3 linked regions of the Ovis aries genome follow. The protein of the gene in region 2 purifies or fractionates together with the protein of the main gene of each other region. This does not show direct contact. Links are inferred from orthologs where the notes say so. Each region holds a gene or a part of one and is shown on either strand. Other genes may lie near its edges.

The links.
Region 1: the proteins of SETDB1 (region 2) and SUV39H1 purify together in Homo sapiens (affinity purification with mass spectrometry; 3 studies listed by BioGRID and IntAct, counting the BioPlex papers as one, with this or other methods). This does not show direct contact. The link is inferred for Ovis aries from reciprocal best matches to the Homo sapiens genes SETDB1 and SUV39H1.
Region 3: the proteins of SETDB1 (region 2) and ATF7IP purify together in Homo sapiens (affinity purification with mass spectrometry; 6 studies listed by BioGRID and IntAct, counting the BioPlex papers as one, with this or other methods). This does not show direct contact. The link is inferred for Ovis aries from reciprocal best matches to the Homo sapiens genes SETDB1 and ATF7IP.

What each region holds. Positions count from the first base shown.
Region 1 is NC_056080.1:56,393,773-56,404,260, reverse strand, and holds the start of SUV39H1 (histone-lysine N-methyltransferase SUV39H1), read left to right. Parts: upstream 1-4,309; 5' UTR 4,310-4,333; coding exon 4,334-4,352; intron 4,353-6,409; coding exon 6,410-6,555; intron 6,556-7,951; coding exon 7,952-8,614; intron 8,615-10,488. UniProt on the Homo sapiens protein: Histone methyltransferase that specifically trimethylates 'Lys-9' of histone H3 using monomethylated H3 'Lys-9' as substrate. Also weakly methylates histone H1 (in vitro).
Region 2 is NC_056054.1:100,893,686-100,903,390, reverse strand, and holds part of SETDB1 (histone-lysine N-methyltransferase SETDB1), read right to left. Parts: intron 4,458-9,705; coding exon 4,423-4,457; intron 3,982-4,422; coding exon 3,882-3,981; intron 2,920-3,881; coding exon 2,794-2,919; intron 2,627-2,793; coding exon 2,425-2,626; intron 1,752-2,424; coding exon 1,678-1,751; intron 759-1,677; coding exon 568-758; intron 1-567. UniProt on the Homo sapiens protein: Histone methyltransferase that specifically trimethylates 'Lys-9' of histone H3. H3 'Lys-9' trimethylation represents a specific tag for epigenetic transcriptional repression by recruiting HP1 (CBX1, CBX3 and/or CBX5) proteins to methylated histones.
Region 3 is NC_056056.1:201,007,939-201,017,643, forward strand, and holds part of ATF7IP (activating transcription factor 7-interacting protein 1), read right to left. Parts: intron 8,375-9,705; coding exon 8,262-8,374; intron 4,499-8,261; coding exon of another isoform or gene 4,457-4,498; exon of another isoform or gene 4,340-4,456; intron 4,250-4,339; coding exon 3,830-4,249; 3' UTR 1-3,829. UniProt on the Homo sapiens protein: Recruiter that couples transcriptional factors to general transcription apparatus and thereby modulates transcription regulation and chromatin formation. Can both act as an activator or a repressor depending on the context.

The sequences.
Region 1 (10,488 bases), on a different chromosome or scaffold from region 2:
CCTTCCTTCTTTCGACAGATATTTATTACCAGGCACTACTTTGGGGGCTGGGGATAAAGCAATGGGAAACAAACAACAAAAATTCTTGGTCTTGTGAGGTCAACATTCTAGGGCAGGAGATAGACAAGAAACAAGGAATTAAATAAAAACAAAAAGAGTTACAGATCATGGTAAGAGCTATATTGTGCTGAGAGGAAGTGATGGTAAGATGTAGAGTTCAGGGAAAGACACTTGGAGGAGGTGACAGTTATGCTGAATCTAGAGAGAAAGGATTCAACCATGTGAATATTTAGAGGGAAGGGCCTTCCAGGCAGAGGGAATAGCCAATGCAAAGACCCTGAGGTGGGAAAAAGCTTGGTGTGAGGCTGAATGTGGTGAACGAGTGAGAGTTATTTGTACACTCATTAAAAAAAAAGTGCGATCAACACAGTATTAGATCAAGAGAGCACTCAATGATCAGACTTCCCACTCTCCATGCACACAACTCCCACACAATGCTAAAATTTGATTCTGCCCAGTTCCCAGTGCAATCTAAGTCCTGGCCAATGGCAATGAAAGAGGCCATAGATCTGCTCTAGATCACAGGCAAGATGCCTCACCTCTGAGCCTCAGTTTCTTCATCTATACAATGGGGGCAACAATATATAACCTATTTCCAACTTGGATCCCACTGGGTCACCCTCCTCCTCTAGAACTTGCTCTCCAGAGGGGGAAAAAGGCGCAACTCAAAACTGTCCCTGGTGTCAAAGCTGTTTCCAAGGGGGTAATTAGAAACTCTTGTACATCAAAGCCTAGAATAGAGGGGCCTACCCCTTCCCATTTCTGAAACCTGGTGGATATAAGATCTCAGGTTTCATACCTTCAGAGGAGTAAGAGAGCAGGGAGGAAAATAAAGGTGAGGGAGAATTCAAAGGGGGCAGACTTCTTCCATCTGCAAGATCAGTGCAAGAATTTCTGAACCATCCAAGGGCAGCTTAAGGGGTTAGAAGAGGGTGGAGGTATAAGGAGTAGGAGCTGGCTTTGCCCCTTAAGAATTTCCCTGCAGCCATGGAAGCTGGAGAAGGAGGGAGTCCTGGGTTCCCTTTAATTTTTCATTGTTCTTCATCCTTTACTCCACTCCCCACCCCACCCTGGTTGGGTTCCCATGGCAAGCACTGAGTCTAGGAAGGGCCTGTCATATCACTTCTACCCCCACCAAACCCAGAATTCCATAACCCTTTGAGCAGGTTTTGTCCTGGAAAAGACCTTACATCACACAACCTCTGAATCCCCAGGAGCATTGGCTAGAGCAAGCACAGATCTGGGGTAAAAGAGTTGACTATGGGGAAGTTGCTTGAGCTCCCTGGGCCTCAGTTTCTTCACGGGGTAGTGACAAGAATGAAAGTAGATGGTGTGTGCAAAGTTCCTGGCTCCTTGTAGGCATTTATAAACCTGAGATGCTGTTTCTGCTGTTGTTACTATTGTTATTATTGGGTGTCGCTGATCCTGAGTCATCACTGATTATAAAATGCACCATTATTCTATATATCACTTAAAAAGACCAAAGAAAAGTACTTCCAGTTAAGTTATAACCTATCAGTGCTTTTAAGACACTCTGACTTTGGAGATATTAAACAATTAAGTGCTTCTAGGGCCCTGGCTGACAATGTTGTTTCTTAACCTGGATTCTGATTCCACATGTATGTTCATTTGTGAAACTCATTACACGGGGTCACCACCCATGGTCTCCTTGTTTTTCTGTATGTGTGGTACACTCCAATGTTAGGTTTATATTAAAAGCCAGTCAAACTTGCGCAGTTTGGAAAGGATAAGATTTTGTATTGGCCCTGCACTGGGAGATGTAGTCCACAGCAGAGTATGCACTGAATTAATGCTGAGTGAACAGATGAACAGCTGGGTGTAGGACACAGTAATAATAGGGTCATTTCTTACTTTGAGGTCTTCTAAAAAGGTGCTATCCCAGAAAGATTCATTTTCCAGATGAGCAAGAGATACCCACCCCAAGGTCACTCATCCAAGGTTTTACAGATGAAGGAACTGCCTAAGGTCCCACACTTTAGTGAAGGGTTGAGCTTGGATTGTACCCAGGTATTTGGGCTCTAAAATCCAAGCCTTTACCCACTATACTATCCTATGTGGGGAAGACTGATGGATGGTCCCCAACACCTGTAAACCACTACATCTTCCCCAGATTCAGGCAGAAAGAGGTCATGCCAAATAAAAGAAAAAGAAAAGAAAAAGAAAGAGCTCATGCCTTAAACTACTATTGTGGGTTGGACAGGCCTCCTGGCTCCTAGGAGTGGGAAGGTCCTGCCTGCCTGGGGAGACTGGGGTCATGTGAGGACCAGCATCTGACTGTTCTAGAAGTAATAAGGGAGAGAAGAATTCACAGTGAGACTTCCACTGTTAACTGTTCCACCCATGGCAAGCAGGGGCTAATGGAACCTCATCCTGACCAGTCATTTCTCCAGCTGGCTCACAGTTGGACTGGCAGGCACAGAATAACCATTTGGTTGACTACATAAAGTATGGAACAACAGGGAGAGGGGCAATTTGAGGAAATGACAGTGTGGGTTATTGACACTGTGAGCTACTTAAAATCTAACTGAATTACAGCCTGCTTGGGACTGGCTGGGGCTGATGACCTGATGCTGCAAAAGAGAGGCAGCCTCCTGAGGGACTTACAGGTTGACTGACTGATGACCCGTGCTGTTGCTGCCTGCCTGGGTAGCCGGATGTTGTGAATGGCTGACTATTGCTAGGAATCACACCTGGCCGGAGAGTATGTGTGGATGTTACACTGTCTGGGGATGTGTAAAGGAGATCTGCTCAGTCGCTCAGTTGTGTCCTACTCTTTGCGACCCCATGAACTGCAGCCCACCAGACTCCTCTGTCCATGGAATTTTCTGGGCAAGAATACTAGAGTTGGTTGTCATTTCCTAATCCAGAGGATCTTCCAACCCAGGGATCAAACCTGTATCTCCTGCCTTGGCAGGCAAATTCTTTACTACTGAGCCACCTGGGAAGCCCCTAAAGGAGGTCTACCCTGAGGGAATTTCAGGTTGACTGATGGACAGATCTGTGCCTGCCTGATAGGCAACCATATCTAGTGACTGACTGTCTACTGTGAACAAATCACAGCGTACTTGACAGACCGTGTGCTCAGTCAGATGTTGAGAATGGCTACCTAGTTGACTGATACGAAGGGCAGACTGAATGAGTCACAGGCCAGCTGGCCCACTGAAAAATCAGTGTAGCCGCTTGAAACCATGGCTGTCCACAGACAGAACCACATCCACCCTAAAGGGCCCTGGGGGTCAGAGAATGCTGACTGACCTACCAATGGAGGGTATGCCTTGCCTGAGAAATGACAGATTGCTGGCCACTGACAGGTGGCCTGGAGGCTTTAGCTGCTGTGAGTACGTGCTCTGGGGAAATAAACTGCCTGATCACGGCATGAATGAGGAGGAACCTGAGAGAATTATGGAGTGACCAGCTGACAGTGGAGCGTGTAGCCCACACGACAGGGCTACATTCGATGTTGACAATGACAGTCTGTCCTGACATAATCACAGCCAGCCAGAGGGCCCAAGCTGGCTTCCTGGGCGGTGGTGAGGTGATTTCCCCCAGAGGATTCGGAGCTGCTTCCAGGGCCAGGGTAGATGGAGAGCCTGGCTACTGGACAGACTGATGGTGTGATGAAGGGACAATCTAAGGGAATGGCAGGCTGGCTTACAGCAACATAGCTGTTGTCAGCGCCGTTTGTCTGCCTCAGGGGCCTCGCAGCTGGCCCGAAAGCAAGAATGGATGCTGCTGCTGACAGACTGACAGCGTGAATGGCGGGCGGGGGTCTGATGAGACAGTGGTAGTGGTGATGGATTTCAGTCGGGTGACTGCCCGAGCAGCTGTATGCGGCGGTAGTCCACCTGGGGAGTCACGGACTGCTTGGGGTTAAAATCTGGTGACGGACTGACTGACGGCGGTAATTGGGGGTCTGACAGGACGGAGAATCCCCTTTTGCGGCTAGCTGACAACGTGATTGGCTGACAGCGTGACAGACAGACCGGCGTACGGGCAGGGCCTCCGGCAACCTCAGCCGCCCTTGCTGCCGCGGCCGCCCCCCAGAGGCACTCTCGCAAAACACTGGCGAGCACCCGCCTTCGGGACCGAGCCGGGTGGCCGGGAGGGGTCCCGTCACGGCTCGCCGGTTGGTCCGCGCAGGCGCTGCTCGCTGCGCGGCGCGGCCAATAGGCTGCGCATTCTCGGCCACGCCCGCGCGAGCTCTCTTCTCGCGAGGCCGGTTAGGCCCGAATGTCGTTAGCCGTGGGGAAAGATGGCGGAAAATTTAAAAGGTGAAGCAGTGGCGGCAGCGACGCGGGCCCGCTGGCAGGCTGGGTGGGCTGGAGGGGTGGCGTCGCGGACTCGGGGCCCCCGGCGTCCGAGGCCACCGGGCCGGGAGCCGGAAGGTCGGCGCCAAAAGGCTGGGGCTCGAGGCGCGCGGGCCTGGCGCGCGGGGCTGGGCGGGGCTGAGGGGAGGGGGCGCGTGCCTTGGAACACGGAGGGCGCGGGGCTAAGTGGGGACGCGAGAGGGGGGCGCGCGCCGCAAATTGCGACCTGACGGCGCGCGCACGCGCGGGGGCTTGTTGGGGGAGGCCGCGCCCGCGCGCGGGAAAATTGGCCGCCGGTGACCGTTACCCTCTCGGTGTCCACGCGAGACGCCGGAAGGGGAGGGGAGGGAAGGGGACGGACCTCCTTTTCAGCGTTGCGGGACAGGGGAATCATCAGGGGGAGGATATCTGCTCGCAGCGTGATGGGGGAAGGATTTGAGGCAGAGAGAACTCCCCCAGGAAGAGGGGAAGAAGACTTCCCTAATGGGAGAGCTGGGCTCCCTGACGCGCAGGCAAAGAGGGGTGACTCAGTGTTGAGGAAGGTGGGCCCCTCTGGATGAGGAAAGCTGCGGGGGGGATGGGTTCCACAGGTGTGAAGGGGAGCTCTGAGGGTAGGAGTGTCCACCTGTGGTCAGTGCGGAGACAGCAGCATATTTGAGTTGGGATCACATTAGTTGGGGCTTCAAATGTAAGTTTGCAAGGGAGAGGCATAGGGAAAGGAAGGCGTGGGCACAGGCCGAGTCTCCACTAGGCCTGTCTAAGAGGAGGGGTGGAAATGCACACGTAATGATTTTGCAAAGCTCTTGTACATTTGTAGGTTGACATCTAGAGTATTTCACCATGAGTTTCAGTTTTTGTAATGGAAGGTAGAAAATATTAAACATTTTTAAAAGATGAAACAGGATGAGGACTGACTGATTACATTTGGAACAAGGGTTTTGTGAAATGATTTGATAAAATGGCTTCTAAAGCACAGAGACTAAGAATATGCCTTGAACCAAAAGATGCCTTTTAAATTACAAAATCTGTCCTGAAAAATTTTGGTAGCCTCCCCCCCCCCCCCCAACAACTAACCTATTTGTTCTGTCTGTTCTTGAATTCAGAGCACACTCCTTTGGGTGAGCTTTACCCTTCAGAGAAATATGAATGAGACAGAAAATCAAAATGCAGCCTGAAAAAATATGGATTTAAGGCACTCACGTGAATCATTTGGGGAAGCTTCCTATAATCTAATATCACTCCACAATCTCTTATTCTTAATTCCAAAATCCAAAAAGCCCTGAAAGTTTAAATTTGGTGTCATTCAGTGGCAAAATTAGGCTATCACTGCCACTATCTTGCATCTTTCTCTTATTCAGTGTGAAAATTCACACTTTTTCTGCAGAACTATTAATGTGATTATGGCTTGATACCCTTGACCACACTAGGGCTGTGTTAGGGAATGTAGGGGATATACCTAGAACTACACTTGTAAAATCCCCCCAATGGAATTTGGATTCTAAAACATCTGGCACCAGGAGTTACAGATGAGATTGTGGACCAGTCTTTCCAGTTAATGCCTTTGTCTGGTGCCCTGGAGGCTTTAATCCCATCCCTACCCACCCACCTTGGGACAGTGCACCCTACTGAGATGGGGGTTGTTCTCTTTCTTTTGCAAAGTGGGGAGAAGGACAATTAGGTCCTGAACTCCAAGGAGGTTTGCAGGCAGTTTAAAGAATGGTATAGAGGGAGCTGAAAGCTCTGGAGGAGGGGTGGGGAATCGATTCCTTTAGGATGATCCGTGCAGCAGAAACCACTTGGAAGTCTGCTGCTCCAGGGTAAGCCTTGGACAGTGGGCACTGGGGTAGATGGAAGTGGCACATCTTTGTTGAAGGGTCTTAGCATTGGGAAAGCCTGTGGATTAAATTTCACTGCCTCTGAGGTAGTCCTTTGGAATTCCTAGGGATGATTTGGGGTCCTCTTTGACCCCTGGCCTCATCAGGATGCTCAGCAATAGTTCTTTCTGGCCCTCTTTGTTCTAGGCTGCAGTGTGTGTTGCAAATCTTCTTGGAATCAGCTACAGGACCTGTGCCGCCTGGCCAAGCTCTCCTGCCCTGCCCTTGGCATCTCCAAGAGGAACCTCTATGACTTTGAAGTCGAGTACCTGTGTGATTACAAAAAGATCCGCGTGAGTCTGGGGTGACTGTGGCCAGGGCAGAGGTGACTCAAGGAAGCTGGCTTCCTGCCCGCCTCCTCCCCCATTACCCACATCTGTTTCCAAAAGCAGTTTTCTCCTCTGATCTTAAAAACGTAGGATTAGTAGGCCCTCTTATCATTTCCATTTTACAGGTGGGAAAACCAAGTGGCTTTCTGAGAGGGGCAGGAGCCAGAAGGAATCCTTAAATAAATCTCTCCTCCCACCTCCCTCTGAATACAAACCAATTGCAAAGATTGAGATGCTGAGCCCAGGAGTGGAGATAATGATAACTAATGGTATTGATGATGATGGACAGGGAAGCCTGGCATGCTGCAGTCCATGGGGTCACAAAGAGTCCGACACGACTCAGCGAACTGAACTGAATGGTTTTGAGCACTTTGCGGTGCGAGGCACTTTCTTTTAGAAACTAATTTAATCCCACCAGCAACATTGTAAAATGGCAACTGTTACTGTTGCCCGAGGAGATAATGGCAGGACAGTTAACAGAACAGCCTGGAGCCAGCATACTTCAGTTCACATCCAGGCTGTGTAACTCTGGAAAACTTACACCAATTCTCTGTACTTCATTTTCCTCATCTATACAATGGGGATAATTAGCAGTATCTACCTTATATAGAGTCGTAAGTGTTAAATTAGCTAATAATACATATAAGTTGCTTAGAACAATACCTTCTACATAATGAATGCTAGAAAAACATCTGCTCTTTTTTTTCTTATTTACAGGATGAGGAAACTGAGGCCCAGTGAAGTTAAATAACTGCCTGAGTTTAGGTTTGCATTACTAGGGAGCAGCAGATTCAGGATGTGTACCCAACGTGTTTAGTTGTAGAATCTGTGTAGTTAAACTCTATCCTATAGTGCCTCTCGGCAAGAAAAGATCCTTCTGGCTGCTGTGTGGAGAACAGACCTAGGGATGAGGGTGGAAACAGAGGGACAAGTGAGGAGGCTGCTGCTGCACTCCAGGCGAGCAATGAGGGTGGTGACAGAGATTTGAAGTGTAGTATTCTGGATGTAGCTTGAAGGATTTCCTGAGGGTGGATATGGGGAGTGTGAGAGGGTGGATATGGGGAGTGTGAGAAAAAGGAGTCAAAGATGACTCTGAGAGGAGAGGCTGAACAGCTAGCAGGAGGGGATAGATTTGGGAGATAAAAGTTGGATTTAGACAGATAGTAAGGGGAAGAGAGGGATTTGAACCTAGTGAGCCTCACTCTGAGAGCCTATGTTTTTTTATCACTGCAAAGAGTCATTCTAGGAAAGGAGCGGTTTGGGTGTTGCCCACAGCCTTTGGGATGGAAGTGCCACAAGAGCTGGCCCAAGGGTCTCGTCTGTCACTTACAGTGCCCCCACCCCTTCCCCACCCCCCCAGGAACAGGAGTATTACCTGGTAAAATGGCGTGGGTACCCAGACTCCGAGAGCACCTGGGAACCACGGCAGAATCTGAAGTGTGTGCGCATTCTCAAGCAGTTCCACAAGGACTTGGAAAGGGAGCTGCTCCGGCGGCACCACCGGTCAAAGCCACCCCGGCACCTGGACCCAAGCCTGGCCAACTACCTGGTGCAGAAGGCCAAGCAGAGGCGGGCACTCCAGCGCTGGGAGCAGGAGCTCAATGCCAAGCGCAGCCACCTGGGACGCATCACCGTGGAAAATGAAGTGGACCTGGATGGCCCCCCACGGGCCTTTGTGTACATCAACGAGTACCGTGTTGGTGAGGGCATCACCCTCAACCAGGTGGCTGTGGGCTGCGAGTGCCAGGACTGTCTGTGGGCACCGGCTGGAGGCTGCTGCCCTGGGGCATCACTGCACAAGTTTGCCTACAATGACCAGGGCCAGGTGCGCCTGCGAGCCGGGCTGCCCATCTACGAGTGCAACTCCCGCTGCCGCTGTGGCTATGACTGCCCCAACCGAGTGGTACAGAAGGGCATCCGCTACGACCTCTGCATCTTCCGCACGGATGATGGACGTGGCTGGGGTGTCCGCACGCTGGAGAAGATCCGCAAGAACAGTTTCGTCATGGAGTACGTGGGCGAGGTAGGGAGACAGGGCTTGGCGGGTGTGTATGGCTCTCCCCACTGTGTGTTCCCACCCTGAGCGCCTGCCTCTTTCTCCCTACTGTATGCCTGAAGTTCCCCTGCTTTCCCTGGGGGGAAGGTGTTGAGGGGGTAACCTGAGTGTGAGAGGGACTATCCTGGCAGGGGCACATATTCCACGCTGGTAGTTAAAGGCACGTTGAAATACTTTCAAACTGGGTTGACTTCATAAGGGTACCTAGCAAAGAGGTAAGCGGGAACTGAAATCCAGGCAGCATTCCTTTTAACAGACCACGTGGCCTGCACAGGATTGCATCATCTGAAAAGGCACTTCCTCTTCTCATTTCATGAGGGTCCAGCTTATCACCAGTCAGTGTCTGCCCAGGAGTACTTTTTTTTTTTACTAATCTGCACAAAAAGAACACAGTCTGCCTTGGGCGGGAAGCAGGGGTGGGGTTGGCTACCTCCTCCTCTAGCCACTGCAGGACACTGGGGCAAAGCTGGTATCCTTCCACCCAAATGGTGTGGCTGCCTAGGTTCTTTCCCTCTTGTGCCTTTACCGTGGCTTAGAGCTGCCTCTGATCCTCAGTGTTGCCTGGTGGGTGGGCTGCTGGGGGGCAGAAGGGGAGGTCTCTAATGGGCTGGGCCAGGATATGGTGCATATCATGTCTGCCCACACCTATTGGTTGCGACCAAGTCATGGGCCTTACTTCAGTTCAAAGGCAGCTGCAAAGCATGATTCAGCCATATGCCCAAATGGAAAACAAAAGGGGGTTGGGTGAATAACTAGCAGGTGTCTGCAACAGCAAGTTTTGAAGTGGGTCACAGTGGGCATTTGGGGTGAGACAGTTGTTTGTTACATAGGAAGGCCTCATGCATTGGGGAACATTTAACATCCCTGGACCATGACCATTTAAATCCATGAGTGTACCTTGTCACAGGGACAGCCCCAAACACCTCTGTGTTTCTGTGGGTCTCTTAGGGGTGTGATACAGCTGGGAGGTGACAGCATTGGCTATAGTGATAACAGTGATGAAGAGGAGAGGCTCCTGTTCTGAGGAACTATGTGTGTGTGCTTAATTGCTTCAGTTGTGTCTGACTCTTTTCGACCTTATGGACTGTAGCCTGCCAGGTTCCTCTGTCCACGGGATTCTCCAGGCAAGAATACTCGAGTGGGTTTCCATGCCCTCCTCCAGGGAATCTTCCTGACCCAGGGATCAAAGCCATGTCTCTTAACATCTCCTGCATTGGCAGGTGGGGTTTTTTCTTTTTTAACCACTAGCACCACCTGGAAAGCCCTGGGGAACTATAGAGAGGGTCATAGCCCCAGGGGGCGGGGGAACAGAAACTGTCTAGAGATTGAGCAGTCCACACAGCAGAGGACCCTGACAGTCTGAACAGAGAGATATCCACACCCCAGACAATCCTGGGGGCTGGGTGGAGTAAATGTCCATGTGTCGAAGGACTTGACAGTCCAGAGGAAGGAGGAGGCGGCCACAGCTCAGAGGGTTCCTGATAGTCTGTAGGAAGAGGTGTCTATGTCCCAGCGTGACTCAAGGAAGAGGGCAAGCTCTCCAGAGGACCCTGGCAGTCCGAGTTAAGAAGTATCCACGCTCACGCTGCCCTGACAGGAAAGTGAAGTGTCCTCACCCCAGCGGGATAGTGACAGTCAAGAAGCTCAGGTGTACACCAAAGAGGCTCTGACAGCCTGGAGGGAGTGTCCACACCCTCAGAGCCCTGACACTCCAGTGGAGATATTCAGGTCTTAGAGGGAGAGCAACAGTGTGGAAGAGATGTCACAGCCTAGAGGGGTCGTAGCTATGCAGGGGAGGAGGCATCTACACCCACAGGAGTCAGCGGTCCTAAGGAAGTCCA
Region 2 (9,705 bases):
AACAAAAATAAAACCCCCCAAAACAAAAACACATATTTCTTGTTTAAAAAAATGACAAGAGATAGATGTTTATACTGAGTATAAGACATATAACAAGGTTCATTAGGATCAAAGGGCTGAGATAGCTCAGAGAAGAAATATAATTCTAAGAAAGGTGTGAGAGGGGAGAAAAGGACAAGTAGAGAAGATTTAAGAGTTAAGCTGGGCCTTGAAAGATCATCAACACCTCAGAATTCACTGATCCTTCTTTTTTGTCCCATTATATTATCAATAACCCTGGGAAAACAGAACTAGCAGCCTTCTCTGTATCTACATGCATTGTGGATACTCCTGGAGAAAAGCAAAAACAAAAACACTATCGTGCAGATTAGAGTCTTAAATTCAGGGACTTTATTTTTAATAACCATGCATAGAGGAATGAAAAAAAAGTAAAATATGACCCAAAACTGAGAATAGGTAAGAGAGTAACAAAGAAGAAAAACTATGGCATAGCTACATATGCCATAGTTATCCTATGCTCCCCCATCCCACCCAAATCCCCGCCTCTAAGACTCCTAAGAAGAGTACCAGAAAGAGGATCCTGACTAGGCTGCCGTCCACCTCCTCGACTCGGGACTTCCACCACGTGCCTTCCCACTCAGTCTTGATCAGCTGGCCACTCTTGAGCAACACCATGGGGCGGTTGGGGTAAGCGGTGATATACTCTTCTATGAAGTCTCGGCAGGAGATGTCTTCTATGTCCTCCCAAGTCTTTTTCACTGTCCCAAGGAAGAAGGAGGGCTGAGAGAGGGCAGGTAGGGCATGTCTTGATAGGGGGAAAGGGTTGACAAGGAAATGTTTGGCATTTTTCAAGTTGGGAAGGAGAGAAAAAATAAATGAAGAAATCATAACCTCAAGGGAAGCAAAACCATGACCACTTAAAAGTACTGAACCTAAGGTGCAAATGCACACTCAAATTCTGCAAATACTAATTGAATCAGCAGTATGTAAACATAGGTGAGTCACTCATTTCCTAGAAATGGATGTTTCCTCTTAGGAAAAGTCAAGTGGAAATTCTTGCTTACTTGATAAGCCTAAAGGTAAATCAAAAAGAATCAGGAGGCACCATAAACTGATTTTAAAAAATCCTGTCCTTCCTTCTCATGCTCCATCAGGCTTTCAAAGGACCCTGAGTGTATTCACTGCCATGTTATGTGGAAACAGCCATTTCACTTGACCTTCCTGCAACTAAAAACAGTTGCTTCTATAAGAGTCTCTCCTAAGCCAGAATCACAAGTATAGGGGAAACTATGAAGACCCCATCTAATACAGGTTCTGTAGAAAGCACTCTGAAAGCAATGCACAGACTACAGATTTACACAAATGTTAAACATGAGACTAGGAGAGAAGTAACATCTTGTCAAACTTAAATCACTCAGAAATGAAACTAAAACACATCTACAATACGTGCATCCACTCAAAATCAGTCATGATCTTCTAATGTCTGACTCTATGGCTGCCAAGACCTAACACTAGGCACGAGCAAATAAAACTGTATCTCTCAAAAAATATGAATCAAACTTATGCTCTTTGAAACTAAAACACCAAGAACATTAGGGCTTTTCCATTGGTTGTCTTAAGAAATAGAAGGTAGAAGAGGAAACAAAAAGAGCTAAGGAAAAAAGGAGGGACACTCACGTGGCCGGCAAATGGGATATAGTTCAGACTGTGTAACATAGGAAGCATAGCCATCATCAAAGAAGATGAGAAACCTGTAAGGAAAGAGTGATGGTAGAAAGACTGGGGGTTACTATATTTAACATGACCAGAAATTATTATAGCTTCCATTCCTCTGGATCACAAACAAGACACAATCCAGGGAACATGTTCCAGTGTACTGTTTTCTTTCTACTATTCTTTCTTTCCACCCCAAGAGTTAAGAATTCTCCCTTAGGTTAGCAGATGCAAACTATTATATATAGACTGGATAAACAATAAGGTCCCACTGTATAGCACAGGGAACTATATTCAATATCCTGTAATAAATCACAATGGAAAAGAATATTAGAATTCTCTCTTAATCTAACCAACATATCCCCACTTTCCCAAAAGTGATTTATTCTTGTTATACTATTGGACTCTCACATTGTTGAAAAACATTTAGTCTCCATTTCTTCCTTCTGTATGAATTCTCTGTTCCCCTAACCATTAATCAATCTGGATTATTCTCCCCTGACCAAATTTTCTCTTTGAGAAAAGGGAAAAAAAGGGGGGAAGGGAGCAAGAAAGAACCACCCACATGACTCTGTGGCAAAGGAAAGAGGGAGTTTCCAGCCACTGAGGACTAAGAACATCAGAGCCAATTGTGAGATCTGCACTATGGCTTAAACAGGGCAGATGACCTGCTCCTGGCTTCCACTCTCCTTACAATTTCTGTCTAGGTACCTGAGCTTGTTTTTGACGTTTGGTGTCTCAGCTACAATGCCAGCATAGAGCCAGACCTGATTCCCATCTTTGTATTTGGCCACTACTCGACTGCCCACATACAACTTGTCAGCAGGAGGGTGGTAATCGTAGGCAATGTGGTTTCCTGACAGAAGACTCTTTCCTTTGTTGTCAAATTTCACCTTGTACTTCTTTCCTGACCCTGAGTCAAACGGAAAAGAGAAACAAAAATTTTTAGAAACCATCAGTTTCTGTGTGGATCCTGATTGCTATGTGAGAGACAAAAGCCAAAGGCTCTGGGGAAAAGACACGATCAGTGATGGTGGCCTGCAGGCTCTTGCATTAGCCCTCCCTCTAGCCTGAACATACCAACCGTCTGGATGGCAATAAGGGTGCCTTTGTGCCACGTCTTAGTTCTTTTTTTGCCGAGGATGCGCATGCTGACGACCAAGTCACCATCTTTGCTCAGTTCTCCAGGCATCTGGCTCAAGGTTCCTAGGAAGAAAGCAAAGTTGCTCTAAAGAGATATGGCACAGATTGGGGAAAGAATGGAAAATAAAGAGGGTACTGGGTTATTGGGACAAATGGGGTAATCACTGATCCTTAACCAATTTTCCTGCTCCCTTGGCCAAGGGCAGATATATAAGACACAGTGGACTCAGCTCTTTATGCTAACAGGAAAAATATGAATTGAAATTCACATGTAACTCAAGACCATCTCACTGTAACCAAATATTTCTGACTCCTTATTAACAACATTAACTATTACTCATTAAATGCCAAGCAGCATGGTGGCTCAGACCATAAAGAATCCACCTGCAATGCAGGAGACCTGGGTTTAATACCTGGGTTGGGAAGATCCCTGGAGGAGGGCATGGCAACCCACTCCAGTATTCTTGCCTGAAGAATCCCCATGGACAGAGGAACCTGGCGGGCTACAGTCCATGGGATCGCAAAGAGTCTGGCACAACTGAGCAACTAAGCACAGCACAGCTTTTATAAATCATTTTCCTGGGAGGGATCTCTTAATAGCTGCATTCTACAAAGAAAGCTTCCTTCAGACCTCTTTTTTACAGTTTGAGTTACTGTTTTCTTTAACCTTCATCTGAAAGAAGATATCATGAGCACGGAGCTAAAAAGTTATTTGGACAAAGCCATCACATGGTAGAAAGCCATCAGACAAACGACTTAAGCCAAGAGACTTCCCCAGTGGTCCAGTGGTTAGGACTCCGCACTTTCAGTGCTGTGGGCCTGGGTTCGATCCCTGGTCAGGGTACTAAGATCCCACAAGCTGAGTGATACAGCCAAAAAAAAAAAAGACTTAAGCAAACAGCAAGTGGTATTAAAAGAATCCTACAGAGGTAGAGAAAGACACTGAAACATTAAAACACAGTATCCATGAAATCTCTGTAGGACTTCACCCCTGCACCTATACCAAGATGTCTCCTGACTCTAACCTTTGTGAAGATCCTGGGAACTACTCTTCTTGTTGACAGCATCCATGAACTTCTGGACATCTTGAGCCGATTTTCTTAAGGCAGCCATAGCTTCACGGAGCTGTGAGGAAGGGGACAAAAGAAACAAGTTTTAAAATAGTAGCACCGCTTCTTGAGAATAACAACTTGTCTTTTAAAAAATGAAACAGACTGAGTTATGTTTAGAAGCTTACAGTTACTTCTAGAAGCTTATAGTTACTCTATCAGGCAAAACTTGCCCTTTCTTACAAATCTGGTTCAGAAATCAGCTTTAGGAAGCTTTCCTTGATTAATTAATCTAGCTTATCACTGCCAAATTCTATATTCATACAGCATTCAGTGCATGTATCTATAAGGAGCTTTTGTATTCTTATAACATTCATTAGAGAACTGCAACCCATGGGGCTGACTTCAGGGTGACTGGTTATATCTTGATGACTGAACTGACTTAACGGTTAGGCCAAAAGTTTCTTCTATCTTCATATTCTTCTCTCTCATCCTTCTCTTACTCATTTCAAGTTACCTTCTGGTCTTTTGGAGTTCTGTTCCCAGCATCACCTAGATGAGAAAAATTGAGTGAAAGACTTATACATAAGAATTTCCAAGAAATCAAGAACCAAACTATCATGGGAACACTTGATAACAACTATAAACTAGTTACAGATACACCTATCTATGTAAAAGTACGAAAAGCATTCAGAAAGATAAAACAGCAAACAGATAACAATTCTTACCTGGGGATAAAGTACTGGTACAGGTGACAGTCTATGGGATCTGGGATTTTCAAATACTTGAATTTTTATAACAATAATTTTTTTATGGGTCATCTGAATGATTTGAAAAATGAAATGTGCCCAGTGAATTAAGTTAAAATGTTTCTTGAGTAGTGCTGTCCAATAGATAATGGTGATGGTTGTACAACCTTGTGAATACACTAAAAACCACTGAATTATACATTTTAAAAGGGTAAATTTGTTATGTAAATTACCATCTGATTTTTTATATTTTTGAGTCAAATTTAAAGGCTTCCGTAATAGCTCAGTTGGTAAAGAATCTGCCTGTAATGCAGGAGACCATGGTTCGATTCCTGCTATGATAGACATATTCTGTTTCTGCACTGGCCAATCTGTTACAATTCAGCGACTAAGCACACGAAATGAGTTTTAAATTTTACTGAAGCGAAGTAAAGTAAAAGTTGCTCAGTCATGTCCAACTCTTTGTGACCCCATGGACTGAATTCTCTAGGCCAGAATACTGAAGGGGTAGCCTTTCCCTTCTTCAGTGGATCTTGCCAACCCAGGGATTGAACCCAGGTCTCCCGCATTGCAGGTGGACTCTTTACCAGCTAAGCCACAAGGGAAGTCCAAGAATACTGGAATGGGTAGCCTATCCCTTTTCCAGTGGATTTTCCCGATCCAGGAATCAAACCATGGTCTCTTGCATTGCAGGCAGATTCTTTACCAACTGAGCTATCATGGAAGCCTTTGCTGCTGCTGCTGCTGCTGCTAAGTCTCTTCAGTCGTGTCCGACTCTGTGTGACCCCATAGATGGCAACCTACCAGGCTCCCCCGTCCCTGGGATTCTCCAGGCAAGAACACTGGAATGGGTTGCCATTTCCTTCTCCAATGCATGAAAGTGAAAACTGAAAGTGAAGTTGCTCAGTTGTTTGACCCTTAGCGACCCCATGGACCACAGCCCACCAGGCCCCTCCATCCATGGGATTTTCCAGGCAAGAGTACTGGAGTGGGGTGCCACTGCCTTCTCTGATGGAAGCCTTTAAATTTGACTAAAAAATTTAAAAAATCAGATGTAATTTACGTAACAAATTTACCCCTTCAAAATGTTTAATTCAGTGGTTTTTAGTGTATTCACAAGGTTGTACAACCATCACCAGTATCTAATTCTAGAACATTTTCATCACCCTGAAAAGAAATCCCACTAAGTATGGGGTTTCTATTAACAGTCATTCCCCATTCCACCACACCTGCAACCTCCAGCAACTACTAATCTACTATCTGTCTCTATGGTTTGCCTTTTCTGCATACTTCACATAAGTGGAATCATATGTGGTACATCACATGAGATTCATCAATGTTGCAGCATTATTAGCACTTCATTTTTATGATTAATACTCCATTGTATGGCTATACTATATTTTATTTATCCACTCATCAGTTGATGGACATTTGGGTTATTTACACTTTTTGGCTGTTATGAATAACGTTGATAGGCACATTTGTATATGAGTTCCCAAAAATAATTTAAAAACTATTTCTGGCTGTGCTGGGTTTTAATTGTGATGCACATGCTTTCTCCTTGTCTAGCTGCAGTGGGCGGGCACTACTCTCTAGCTGTGGTGGTGTATGGGCTTCTCATAGCGGTGGCTTCTTTTGTTGCGGAACACTGACTCTAGGGTGCTTAGGCTTCAGTAGTTGCAGGCTCAGCAGGGTGCAGCACACAGGCTTGGTTGCCCTAAGGCATGTGGGATCTTAGTTCCTGGACTAGGGATCAAACCCATGTCCCTTTCATTTGCAGGAGGATTCTTAACTGCTAGACCACCAGGAAGTCCCTATATGAGTTTTTATGTGGGCATATGTTGTCATTTCTCTTGGATTATGGCTAGGAGTAGAACTGCCAGGCCATAAAGTAACTCAATGTTTAACCTTTTGGTGAATTCAAAGACTTGTCCAAAGTGGCTGTACCATTTTGCATTCTCACCAGCAATTTTAGAGGGTTCCAATTTCTCCACATCCTTACCAAAACTTATATTACTATCTTTTTTCTTACAGCTATCCTAATAAGTAGTTTTGACTTGCATTTCCTTAATAGCTAATGATGTTAAACATCTTTTCATATACTTATTAGTCATTTACACATCTTTGGAGAAGTATCTATTCAAATATTTCGCCTATTTTTAAATGGCTATTTGTCTTTTTATTCTTAAGTTTTAAGAGTTACTCATACATCCTGGGAAATACTAGACTTCACATTTCACATAATTTAAAAATTTTTGGCCCTGCCATGTGGTTTGCAGGATCTTAGTTCCCTGACCAGGGATTGAACCCAGGTTTTCCACTGTGAAAACTCAGCATCCTAAACACGGGACCACCAGGAATCCTCACATTTCACATAATTTAAATAGCCACATGTGGATGGTGGCTACTGTATTGTATAGTGAAGTTTTAGAGATTTATAACATTTAAAAATGGAAGGCAATGGTGATAATCATTTTGCAATAAACATATATATCAAATCAGTCTTATACCTTAAATACCATATTATCAACTATATCTCAATAAAACTTGGAGGGAAACGTGGCAAAAATAAATAAATGGAAAGCAATGTAAATGACCAAAAATGAAATAAAAATTTAGTGAGATCATCAGATAAAAAAATCTATATGCAAAAGTCAACCACATGTCTAAATACTAGCAAAACTATTTAGAAATGTAGTTTTTAAAAAAAGTTAGTGCAAGCTTTCTGTGGAGAAAATGAATCAACCTCAGTGAAAAATGTTAAGGACTAAATACATGATCTTTGTATGGGAGATTTAAATACTATGAAAATTATTAACTATCTCTATATTGGTAATCTGATAATGTCAACTGATACTGATATGTCTATAGCTCTGGGGTTTTTATCGGTGTGTGTGGGAAATGGGGGAACATGAAAAGCTAACTCTCAAATATAAGGAAAACAGGTGTAAAAGAACCAAGACATCTGTGAAGAATGAGAAAGTGAAGTTACTAGAGTTAACAGAAAAACTTATAAAGTCACAGTGATGGACAGTATAGAGTTGACTTAGTAAGAAATGACACACCAATGAAACAGAAAATCCAGGAACAAACCCATAGATATATGTATATATAAGTAATTTATGATAGAACAGCAGAGACATTACTTTGCCAACAAAAGTCCTTCTAGTCAAAGCTATGGTTTTTCCAGTAAATGGCAATCCACTCCAGTACCCTTGCCTGGAAAGTCTCATGAACAGAGAAGCCTGATAGGCTACAGCCCATGGGGTTGCAAAGAGTCGGACACAACTGAGCAACTTCACTTCACTTTCACATGTATGGATGTTAAGAGTTGGACTATAAAGAAAGCTGAGCACAGAAGAATTGATGCTTTTGAACTGTGGTGTTGGAGAAGACTCTTGACAGACTCTTGGACAGCAAGGAGATCCAACTAGTCCATCCTAAAGGAAATCCGCCCTGAATATTCACTGGAAAGACTGATGCTAAAGCTGAAACTCCAATACTCTGCCCACCTGTCGGGTAGAACTGATTCATTCGAAAAGACCCTGAGGCTGGGAAAGACTGAAGGTGGGAGAAGGGGATGACAGAGGATGAGATGGTTGGATGGCATCACCAACTCAATGGATATGAGTTTGAGTAAGCTCCAAAGGTTGGTGATGGACAGAGAAGCCTGGAGTGCTGCAGTCCATGGGGGTCGCAAAGAGTCAGATACGACTGAGGGCCTGAACTGAACTGACTGAAGCAATGCGAATCAGCAAGAGGTGGCTCATTTCAATAATGGTGCTGGAGAATTATTTAAGAACATTATGAAAAAAAGAAAACACCTCAAATATTACACAAAAAATATATTTCAGTTAGATTAAAAACTTAAATGTGAAACGCAGAACTATGAAACTTTCAAAGGCAATGTAAAAGAAGATCTTTGTAGATTCAGGGCAGTAAGGATATAAAAAGCAGTGACCATAAAAGAAAATGTTAAAAGTTACAACTTCTGTTTATTAGCAAATAACATAAAAAGTAAAGACAAAATATAAGCTTGGAGTAATATGTCCATTTTATAACTGCAAAGGATTAGTAATTATAATTACAGGAAAAACAAGAAGACTCTCTCAACTAAAAAAAAAAACCCCAAACATACAGTTGAGTGAATGAGCAAGAGACATGAACAGACATTTCAAAGAAAAACTATAGATAACTCACACATGAAAAGATTCTCAAGTCCATTAGTAAACAGAGAAATCAAAATTTAAAATGACAATACCATGTGTTGTCAAGGATGTGGAACATGGGCCACTTGCATTCACTGGTGGTATAAATATAAATTGGGACAACCACTTTGGAAAGCTTTTTGGTCATTAATTATCCAGCAAGGTTGAAAATTCCATATCTGAAGAACCAGCAACTCCACTCTTACAGTATCCTACGATATCCTAAAAAGATTCTTGCACGTGTGCATCAAGGATCATGTACAAGAATATTTACAGCATTACTTATAATTGCAAAAAAAACTAAAAACAAATGAAATGTCAGTTGTTAGGCGATAGATAAACTGGCATATTCACATAATGGAGCACCATACTGCAGCAGCAACTAACTGTACCAAGCACTACACATCAGCATGATACTGATGAAGTCACCGAAGAATGCCTGCAGTGTCTAAGACTCCATTTACCTAGTTCAAATATAGGCAAAACTATAGCACTTCTGGTGATAATGATGAGACAAGACTGGACAATCCCCCTATGCAGAAAACAAACATAAAACTGGACAAAAAGGCCAAAAAAAAAAAAAAAAAATTCAGGATGCTGGAAACTGTCCAAAGGCAAACAACAGATTGATAAGTATTTATATCTGAAAAACTGCTAAACCTTATGGTAACAAAAGTGGGAGTCTATGGATCTCTTTCCTGGGGCAGCTCCCACCGCTGTTCCACTGCCAGCATGGTGGGCAAAAACTGTACCTTTACCATCAAGGTGCTAGCACTAACAAGTAGCTTTGCTACTCTGAGGTTGTAGCTCTTGCTTAGAGTGAACAACCAACCAGTCAGGGAT
Region 3 (9,705 bases), on a different chromosome or scaffold from region 2:
ACTCTACAAGTGAAAAATAAAGAATGACAAACTTAGCATGATAAAACTGAAGATGAGAAGACAAAACACATGTTTGTATCATTCTATTCCTCCCCATTGGCTGGCTCAAGGAAAATAAGTTTTTGGAATTGGATAAACCTGCCACACTAATGAAACACTTTACAGGAATTGTTCTAACCTTTTTTGTTTGTCCCAAAATTTTCAGAAAGGGGAGGGGCCATCATTTACCCAGTAGAGAGTAAGGCAGGCAGAATTATACACTGGTTTTAAATAGAGTTATTTGCAATAATCTAATACTGGGACATGGTCTTTCTGGAAATCAGAATAAAACAGGCCAATGACTGGTCAATGATTAAGTTAAAATAATGAATAAATCACAGGATATTGAAATAGCCCCACAAGGAAAGTCTGGGAGAACACTTGGAAGTCTTTGCAATAATGTACTGTGCCAACATCACAGTGTATACAAGTGAGAGAAGAGGATAACGCAGGCATTATTCTGTTAATCTTTTACAGTACTGGAAAATCTGTGGAACAAGATAAATGCATATCATGCAATATTAACACCTTGCTGCATAAACAATAATTTGGAAAATACAAGCAAAAGAGCAAACAAACAAAAAAAACCCACATTAACACTTATCGGCCACAGGAAGATAACTGTATGGTGCAGCCTGCCTAAGGAGTTCTGCTGACAGGTGGTCCTAAGCTCCTTGTTTGAGGTCATTTTATTCAATCAAACTTTTCATTTCCTATCTGGCAATGGGGGTTGGGACAGTGGGGAACACATGTCTGTGAGGCAAATGGCAACCCAACAAACATTCACTTTTCAAGGAAGCAAGCTCTGCTCTTCATTTCTCTCATGAACTTCGACTTTGTTAAATGGCACACAGTATTCTGCATGTTTTAAAAAGTGAGTCCAGAGAAATAGAGGGATATAGTTACCTCATAAAGTTACCTGTTACCAACAGATGTCTTTGTATATACTTTATAAATGTACTGGCAAGAATGTAATTTTAAAATGTGAGGCTTAGTCACACTTAAAATTGGGTGAAAATTACTCCGACAAAGTACAAAGTAGACAGTAACAAACATCACCATTACCTTTAAATGTCATATAAACATCCTCTATTTCAGGCTGAAGTATCAGAAGTTTCCAGGATTTCCAATAAGGCAATACTTACACAAGTATTGTCAGACTAAAAAAGTAGCAAACTTGCATTCCCAAAATGGGATTATTAAGCTTATTTGTAATACTCTGAGAAAAGATACTGTGAAATTAAAAAAGGTACCATGAAGTGTGATTGCTATTAAAAAATATGTGACCAGTAGCTATTTCTAGTTGAGCCCTCCATTCTCTGTCTCTAAAGAAACAAACCAAACAGAAAGCTCTCTTCAACATTAAAAAACCTGCCTGAAATAAAAACCTAGAGTTCAAGTAGCACCCACTGGTAACTCCAACATAATTGTTGCCTATAAATTCTGTGGCAGGCTAATTGAAAGAAACCATCTTATAATATCTTTTCCCTCAAATAATTACAATCTCTCTTTGTACCTTCCCTCCACCACTTGGAATAAAAAGTTTTATTTTACTGTAGTAAATCTATTTTTTAGGGTTACTATTTAAGTTATTTCTTTTTTCTCTGACAGAAATCACACAGTATAGGTCAAAATAATATTTTCATTCTACTGGGCTTTCTTCACCTGATTATATAATGCTATGAAAGCATAATTTTTTTTTTTTTAAAAAAGCATAATTAAAAAAAAAAGGATTAGTAAACAAAGTACTCACCAAGGGAAGCTTTCTAGGCTAGGTAAGCAAATTATCACATGACCATAAAACCGGTCAATAAAGGACAATTTTGAACATGGGCTTTCTATTCTGTCAACTGAAATGATCTTCAACACATAATCAACACTGCAACCATTGCAGGTAAAAACATATGTACATGCAGATATAAGACAGATGCTCACATACATCTAGAAGATCATAAGCTTCTCCCTTTAAAATTTTTCATTGGCATGACATTGGCAATTTCTTTACCATCATCATTAGACCCACAATGAGTAACACCTACATAGTTGGTTGGCAAATATGACTCATGGAAATTTTAATTCTCACTGTGGTATATTTTCTGAAAGCAAAAGGAAGATTTTGGAGCATTTACTTTAGGCAATCTGTAGGCTTTCCTCCACATCAATCAAACTTCACATCCAACCTGACAGTACAGTGACCAGTAAAAGTCTCTAAAGAGAGTTTCTTTACAAGTAGAATGTTTCCTATTACAAGCCATTGAAGATGCAAACAAAGAAGCATTAATATGGAAGTGACAGTTCCCTCTTATAAGTCATACATTAATGACTAACTCATTTAAGAAGGCAGGAATATGATTTCCAATATGATATGGAAGATGGCTTGAAAATGTATTCCACAAACTCCACAAATTCCTTTCCAAGCATCGCCAACCCCACTCTCATCCCCCAAATTACGCCATCTCTCCTGTCTTAAGCTACCTACACTCCAACATGTACCTGATACCAGTATAACTGGCACTCAAATAGAAAATCCATGACCAAAGTTTGATTAAAACTTTGAAGAGGAACAGAGATGCACAGAAGTTGTAAAGTCATTCTTACATAAATGACCCCAAAGGATATACTTTAAACCGTATCCAAAGCTGACATATGGTGAATCAGACAAAACTTAGCACCATCAAAAGAAAAGATTAATACAGGAAGAATGATATGAGGATAAAGAAGAAATGGAGCTTTCCCTTGATAGTTTAGCTTACTGTATTTTGTGAATTTTACTATTTACTTTCTTTGAAAGAATACTATGGGTGATAAGGTATGCTTTGGGTGATAAGGTAAACCAGAATTGCTTTCATAATCTCTAAGACAGTGTGCAACATAGATATTAAAAGATATTTGAAGGGAAATTGGCTTATACAATGTGGTCTTCTTTTGGTTCACTTTACACAGAGTTAAATAGTGACCAGAAATAAAAAGCATTAATTTTCTTGGAAGAAAAGAGCAAGTTAAATGTAATGATGTCACTGATGAGACTACATATAAAAGCCTTGGTCTAAAATTTACTTGAGGGAAATGTGCTACATTTGGTGGAGAGAAAGGAGAAATGAGGATGAAAGGTTGACAGAGAAGAGTAAACCACAATGGAAAAATGGCCCTGTTTACTTCTGCAGTTAATCCTTAAGGCACAAAAATAAATGGAAAAAAATCTCTGATTAGAAAAGGGAGGGCCCACTGCAATTCTTTTTCATCGATTGACAACCCAGAAAAGACAAAAGAAAACATGAAAAGATCTTTTCCTGTGTTCAAATTAACCTATTTTAAACTATTTGACCATTTTGCTTTTTATTTTTTCTTTGGGTTCCATTTAGAGTCAGTTTAAATCATCTATCTATAAACCTACAGATCACGTAGAAGCAGAATCATGCCAGATACATACCTCAAATCATTTGATCTACTTACTTCACACTGGAAGAGAGGTAAATTTGAGAATGAAAATGGGAGATTCCACTGTAATAAACATATAAATACAGAAAAGCACACACCACACATATACCCCAGCCTCAAAACTAAAGCAAGGTGCACATTTACATTTCAAAACCTTGAAGCCTGAATTGTTCAGGAAAAGATCCTGCTTTATGGGCTGAGTTTATTCTGATTATAAACAAATGTAGTGTATATATACATCGGTCCAAGAAATCTTGCACAATGTGCATTTTACAATGGGTATCATGCACAAGATTAAAACAAGACCAAAAAGTAGAACTTCTGAAAGAGGAAGAGAGAAAGGCTCCAAGGTTTAACTGCTCTGTGAAGAAGAGATCACATCTGTTGACTGAGGATCACAGAAAGGTCCAAAACGCCCGTAAATATCCTTGGCTCGTACTGCAAAGTAGTATTTGCTGCCAGACACGAACTGGGTGAGAGTGCATGCCATAGGCAAGGGAAGTGCCTTGACTTCGCCAATCTTCTTCCACTGTGAGGGTACAGTGGCACTGGGTTCCTCGTGGTAAGCGTACAGGTGGTAGCTGTCAACAGTGGCGCAGCTTCTGTCCACCTCCAGAACACTCCAGGACAGTACAATGCCATTTTGACTCTGAACTCGTGCTAACTTCAAGTGAGGCTTCTGAGGCAGAGACGTGCTGGCAGCTTCAGGGGGCAGACGCTGTGGTTGTGGGGCTTCTGGTAAGGGTGCTGGGTGCACAGGGCGTGGGGGCTCCTAACAAAAAAAGAGTCATGTTGATGGATAATGATTGGAGAAAGGACTGTTTCTTAATGCGAGAACTATAACATCCTAGAAATCACTTACTTTTAGAGAGTCTTCATTTTACATCAAGAATACTGGGAAATAGCAAATATCACACATCTGGCAAGTTCTCCCTGATGATTTGAAACCAGTTCATGACCCAGAAGATGAGTGTTGAGATTATTCCCTCTGTGCTTTTTGGGTCTGAGATACTGAGTTTTCCTTGGGAAACAAAAGCCCTGGCTGATGGAACATCATCTTGACAGAAACTGAAATAATAATCTACTTCTGATAAAATAATTAATGATTTAATGATCTATACCACAGACTCTTGTTTTAATATAACATATTTTTTAATAACATATGTTGGCAGTCTATCAATCATCTAAAATTTGAGTATCAACTCTACTTTCATTTTCAGACTGTTTCTCCATAAAAAGACAGTAGCATATTCTTATAAGTTAAGTACATATAACACTGACTGTATATTATATTCTTGGTCAGTCTGCATGAAAAAGGTTACATTTATACTGGACTGTGAGAGAGAGAATTTAGAAATGTAGAAATAGTTGTGAATCTTTCTGCTAACAGGTAAAAGCATGAACAAGGCATGGGGATAGGCAAGCGAGGGGATTTATGGGCAAAAACACGGAGAATGTGAAGAACACACAAATTTGGAAAGGTAAGTTAAGGCCAGATAATGAAAAAGCATGAATACTAAGCTTACAAACTGACCTGATGCTAGACATTATTATCATCTGGGTTTTAAGATTACAATGATACCAGTTCTTCAAAAAGATTTAAGTAAGAGCCAGGAAACAGAGATATAAGTGGTCTTTTTTTCCCCCCAAGTGAAACATTATTGCTCAATGACTTTAGTTTGGAAGTCATGAAAAAAATAAGATCTCCTTAACTGAAATTCATTTATCAAAATTATGTTTTAATATGCATTTCATTAAATGGATAATTTGCATATACTAAATAGTGAATTCTGTGAAGATCTGATATCTTCTAAATCTCTATGCCTTTTCAAAGTTCAGTGCTAGTAGTATGCACGCAGTAACAACTCAAAAAAGGATCTGCCAAATAATCTCAAGAAATGAAAATATGCTGAAATTTATATGTGAAGTGAAAAAAATCATATACACATCTGGAGAAACACAGTTTAAAAGCTAAAATAAATATAAAGTTAGAGGGAGGGAAAAAAGCAAATGCAAATACATGAAACATCAAAAGCTGAAGAAAAACAGATTTGAATACTGGCCATCTTACTGTATTACTTCTCTCAAATTAAGTAAATAACATTAAATAAACACACAACTAGTAAGATCTATGAGAAGAAGGCTGCAGTCATGAACTTGACTGGAAAGAGTAGGAATTTAAGGAGTATGATAATAGCTTACAGCCTATAACAGCCCTTTCTAATTCTTAAAATTTGAGGCTACCAAATCCTCTCATATTTCAAAACAGTTAAGTCAACTGAGCTACTGCTTCGTTTCTGCCACTGCAATGGAGATTTCTACTGAAGTTTTAGAGATAATATATCAGGGATTTGCTTCAAAATATTCCAGTGCATACACAGGTTGTAGGAGTTTGTGGGTGGCAATACAGAAGAAAGAAGATTGGCTATGACTGCTGAAGACTGATGACTACTGAAGACAGGTAATGGGTAGGTGGGGATTGCTACACTAGTCTTTCTACTTTTATATATATTTGAAAATTCCCAGTTAAAAATATTATTAAAATTAAATTAAAAGAATGTTTCTCCTATGAGATACTGCTGCTGCTGCTGCTAAGTTGCTTCAGTTGTGTCCGACTCTTTGTGACCCCATAGATGGCAGCCCACCAGGCTCCCCCGTCCCTGGGATTCTCCAGGCAAGAACACTGGAGTGGGTTGCCATTTCCTTCTCCAATGCATGAAAGTGAAAAGTGAAAGCGAAGTCGCTCAGTCATGTCCGACTCTTTGCGACCCCATGGACTGCAGCCAACCAGGCTCCTCCATCCATGGGATTTTCTAGGCAAGAGTACTGGAGTGGGGTGCCATTGCCTTCTCTGATGAGATATAGTGTATTTATTATAAGACAATTCATATGGAATCCTGTTTTAAAAAAAGCTCTGATGGATCATCACATTTGCAAAACTGCAGCATAAATAGGACATTTTTACTATATATTTCTCGAAGGAATATGGGATGAAGTAGGTTGTTTGTAGTTGCAAACAACAGTAATGAGATATGTGCCACAGATCCTACAAGGCTAGATCTGAAGCACTGTGCCAACATGCTGGAGGTGCTGGGACCAGAAAAATCTGAGTTTTAAAATGGCTCTGCCTCTGACACTAGTTTGGCAGTGACACTGAGTAATCACCTAATATCGCTAAGACACAGTAGCCTCTTCTATCAAACAGAGAATATTGATTCTCAAGGGTTTCCCTGGTGGCTTAGATGGTAAAGACTCCATCTGCAACGCAGGAGACCTGAGTTTGATCCCTGGGTTGGGAAGATCCCCTGGAGGAGGGCATGGCAACCCACTCCAGTATTCTTGCCTGGAGAACCCCCATGGACAAAGAAACCTGGTGGGCTAGTCTATGGGGTCACAAAGAGTCAGTCATAACTGAGCGACTAAGCACACAGTAGGGTTGGGAGGAGTAAATAAAATAATACAAGTACAATAGTAGAGTGCCTCGTATACGTGAAGTGCTCCATTAACACGACTTTTTTAACTGCAGTGGGACAGTAAAATAACAGCTGCTAAGAGCACAGGCTCTGGAACTGGAATGTGTTGGGTTTTATGAGGTATGACCTGGGGCTGGTTATTCAACCACTCTGTACATTAGCTGCCATACCAATAATAAAGGATAAAAAAAGAAAGCTAGAGTTCTAAAGAATTTCTGTGTAAGGACCACATAAATTAACAGTGCCTGGTGCATAGAAAGCCCTTCACAAACTTAGCCATTACTATGTATATTTTAAAAAGGATGCTTTGCTTGGTAAAAAGTGGTATCAGCCTCAATCTCCTACCACTATTAGAGCCAGCATTTCCATTCACACACTCTATCATACCAAATACTATTACAGTCAGGTCACAGGATAATGTGACATTGATTTGGAGATTAAAACTAAGGAGAAATCTTTGGTTTTCTCTATTATCTCTTAACCAATGAATTCCCAATACCACTGGATGATTAAAAGTAGCAGGTGATAGGTCAGAGAAAGACAAATATTATATGATATCACTTATATGTGGAATCCAAAAAATAATACAAATGGACTTCTTTACAGAACAGAAACAGGCTCACAGACACAGAAAATAGTTATGGTTACCAAAGGAGAGGGGAAGGGATAAATTAGAAGTATGGGATTACCAGATATACATCACTATGTATAAAATAGGTAAACAAGGATTTACTCTATAGCACAGGCAACTCCATTCAATATCTTATAATAAACTATAATGGAAAAGAATCTGAGGCTGTACACCTGAAACTACCACAACACTGTAAATCAACTACAGTTAAATTAGAAAATTTTTTTAAATTAAAAGTTTAAAATAAAACCAGTAAAACGATAGCAGTGTAATAGAACTAGTATAAAATTCTGAGAATAAAATTAAACCTGCAACAATATTTCGTAAAATATTCAGTACTTTAAAAAAATATTCACTACTCAAGAATGCGCTCTTTAACCTAACCATAAGTTTAACATAGTCTATTCCACTTCTCACGCCCCAGACGTGGACTCTTTTATATGCTGCACACCACCACAAGCAAACTCTATACTCCCCAACCATCATTACCCAGAAGTGTTTCTGAGTAATGTTGACAGATATAATGGTAAGATCTACTTTCTTCAATAAACATCTGCTGGAAAAACAGAAGACCTGTTATTTTCTTTTGCTATAACTAGTTTAAAGAAAAAGTACTAACTGCAGTGGTATCTGACAGTGTTATACGTGAGAATTTTGTGAAGCCAAGGGTCCTCACTTACAGTATGCACTTGTGGTGGTCGGTGATGCACTGTGAGCTGAGGTCCTGTTGATCCCAGGGTTAATCCATTGTTTACAACATATGTAGTTGCTTGAGGCACTCGGACTGTAACACCTATAAAAGAAAATGAAGTGATAGAATTCGAATTCTATTCTAAATTTGGTAGAACACTGAATTAAACATTTAAAAATCAGTAAAGTGATGTTTTTAAAATTCAAAAGGAAAAATATATCTAACCTAGAAGTCTATACTCATCTAAAGTATCATTCAAGCATGAAGATAAAGAAATTCTCATATATGCAAGCTACCAAAATAAATAGTCTACCTCCATGAACTTTTCTTCAAGTAGCCACACGAGAGACAAGATTAACAAAGGACAATAGGAGACAAAGTGAACAGGAGATCCAGCATAGGAAAGAAAGAAATGCAATCCATACCCAAAATCCTAGCACACTGAAACACTGGAGGTACACATAACACAGAAGGCAGATAGGCCAGAACGGAGCACTGTGACTCTAAAGATAGAAAACATGAAGCTTTCTTCACAAAGATCTCTGCTGCCTCCAGAACAGGCAAGTTAATCTTGCCTCATTTTAACAAGGTTCCTCTCTTCCTTTCCATGCTCTGCTGATCAGCTGAGGATACTCATTTCATCCAACAGAAAACTTTATACAGACATCAGGGCAACAAAAGCAGAAAATTTAGAAGCAGACTTCCTCGGTGGTACAGTGCATAAGAATTTACCTGCCAATGCAGAGGACACAGCTTTGATCCCTGGTCTGGGAAGATCCCACATGCCATGGGGCAACTACTGAGACTGTGCTCTGGAGCCCAGTCTACTCTACAGCTGCAACTACTGAAGCCTGAGCCCCTAGAGCCTGCACTGCACAAGTCACCGCAATGCGAAAGCTGAACACCACAACTAGAGAGTAGCCCCTGTTCCCCGCAACTACAGAAAGCTCATGTGCAGCAATGAAGACCCAGTGTGACCAAAGATAAAATTTTTTTAAAATTAAAAAATGGAGAAAATTTAGAAGCCACTCATAGCTCAGCCATATTTCTGCCATATATCCATTACTGTGGGTACCTTGCCTGGGGTGAGCCCTGTTTCCCAGAATTCATTTAAGACACTGCTGACAGATTTCCCCAGAGAAAGCTCTTGTAAACTTGAGAAAGCTAAAGCCAGAATGTGAACTAGAGACTCTGTTTAGTTTATTTTCTCCTATAGCCATCACCTAATAATGGCATGACTGAAGTTTCAATAAACAGCTGGATTTGTCCCTGCTTGTTAAGTTTTGCGAAACTGAATATTTTTAGTGATACCTATAGAGATTGCAAAACCATACAGAAAAACAGAAAGTAAGGGTGATGGTTACCTCTGATGGAAAGGGAATAGGATGAAATTAAGAGCAGGCATACATAGATTTTTAGATTTTGATAAAGTT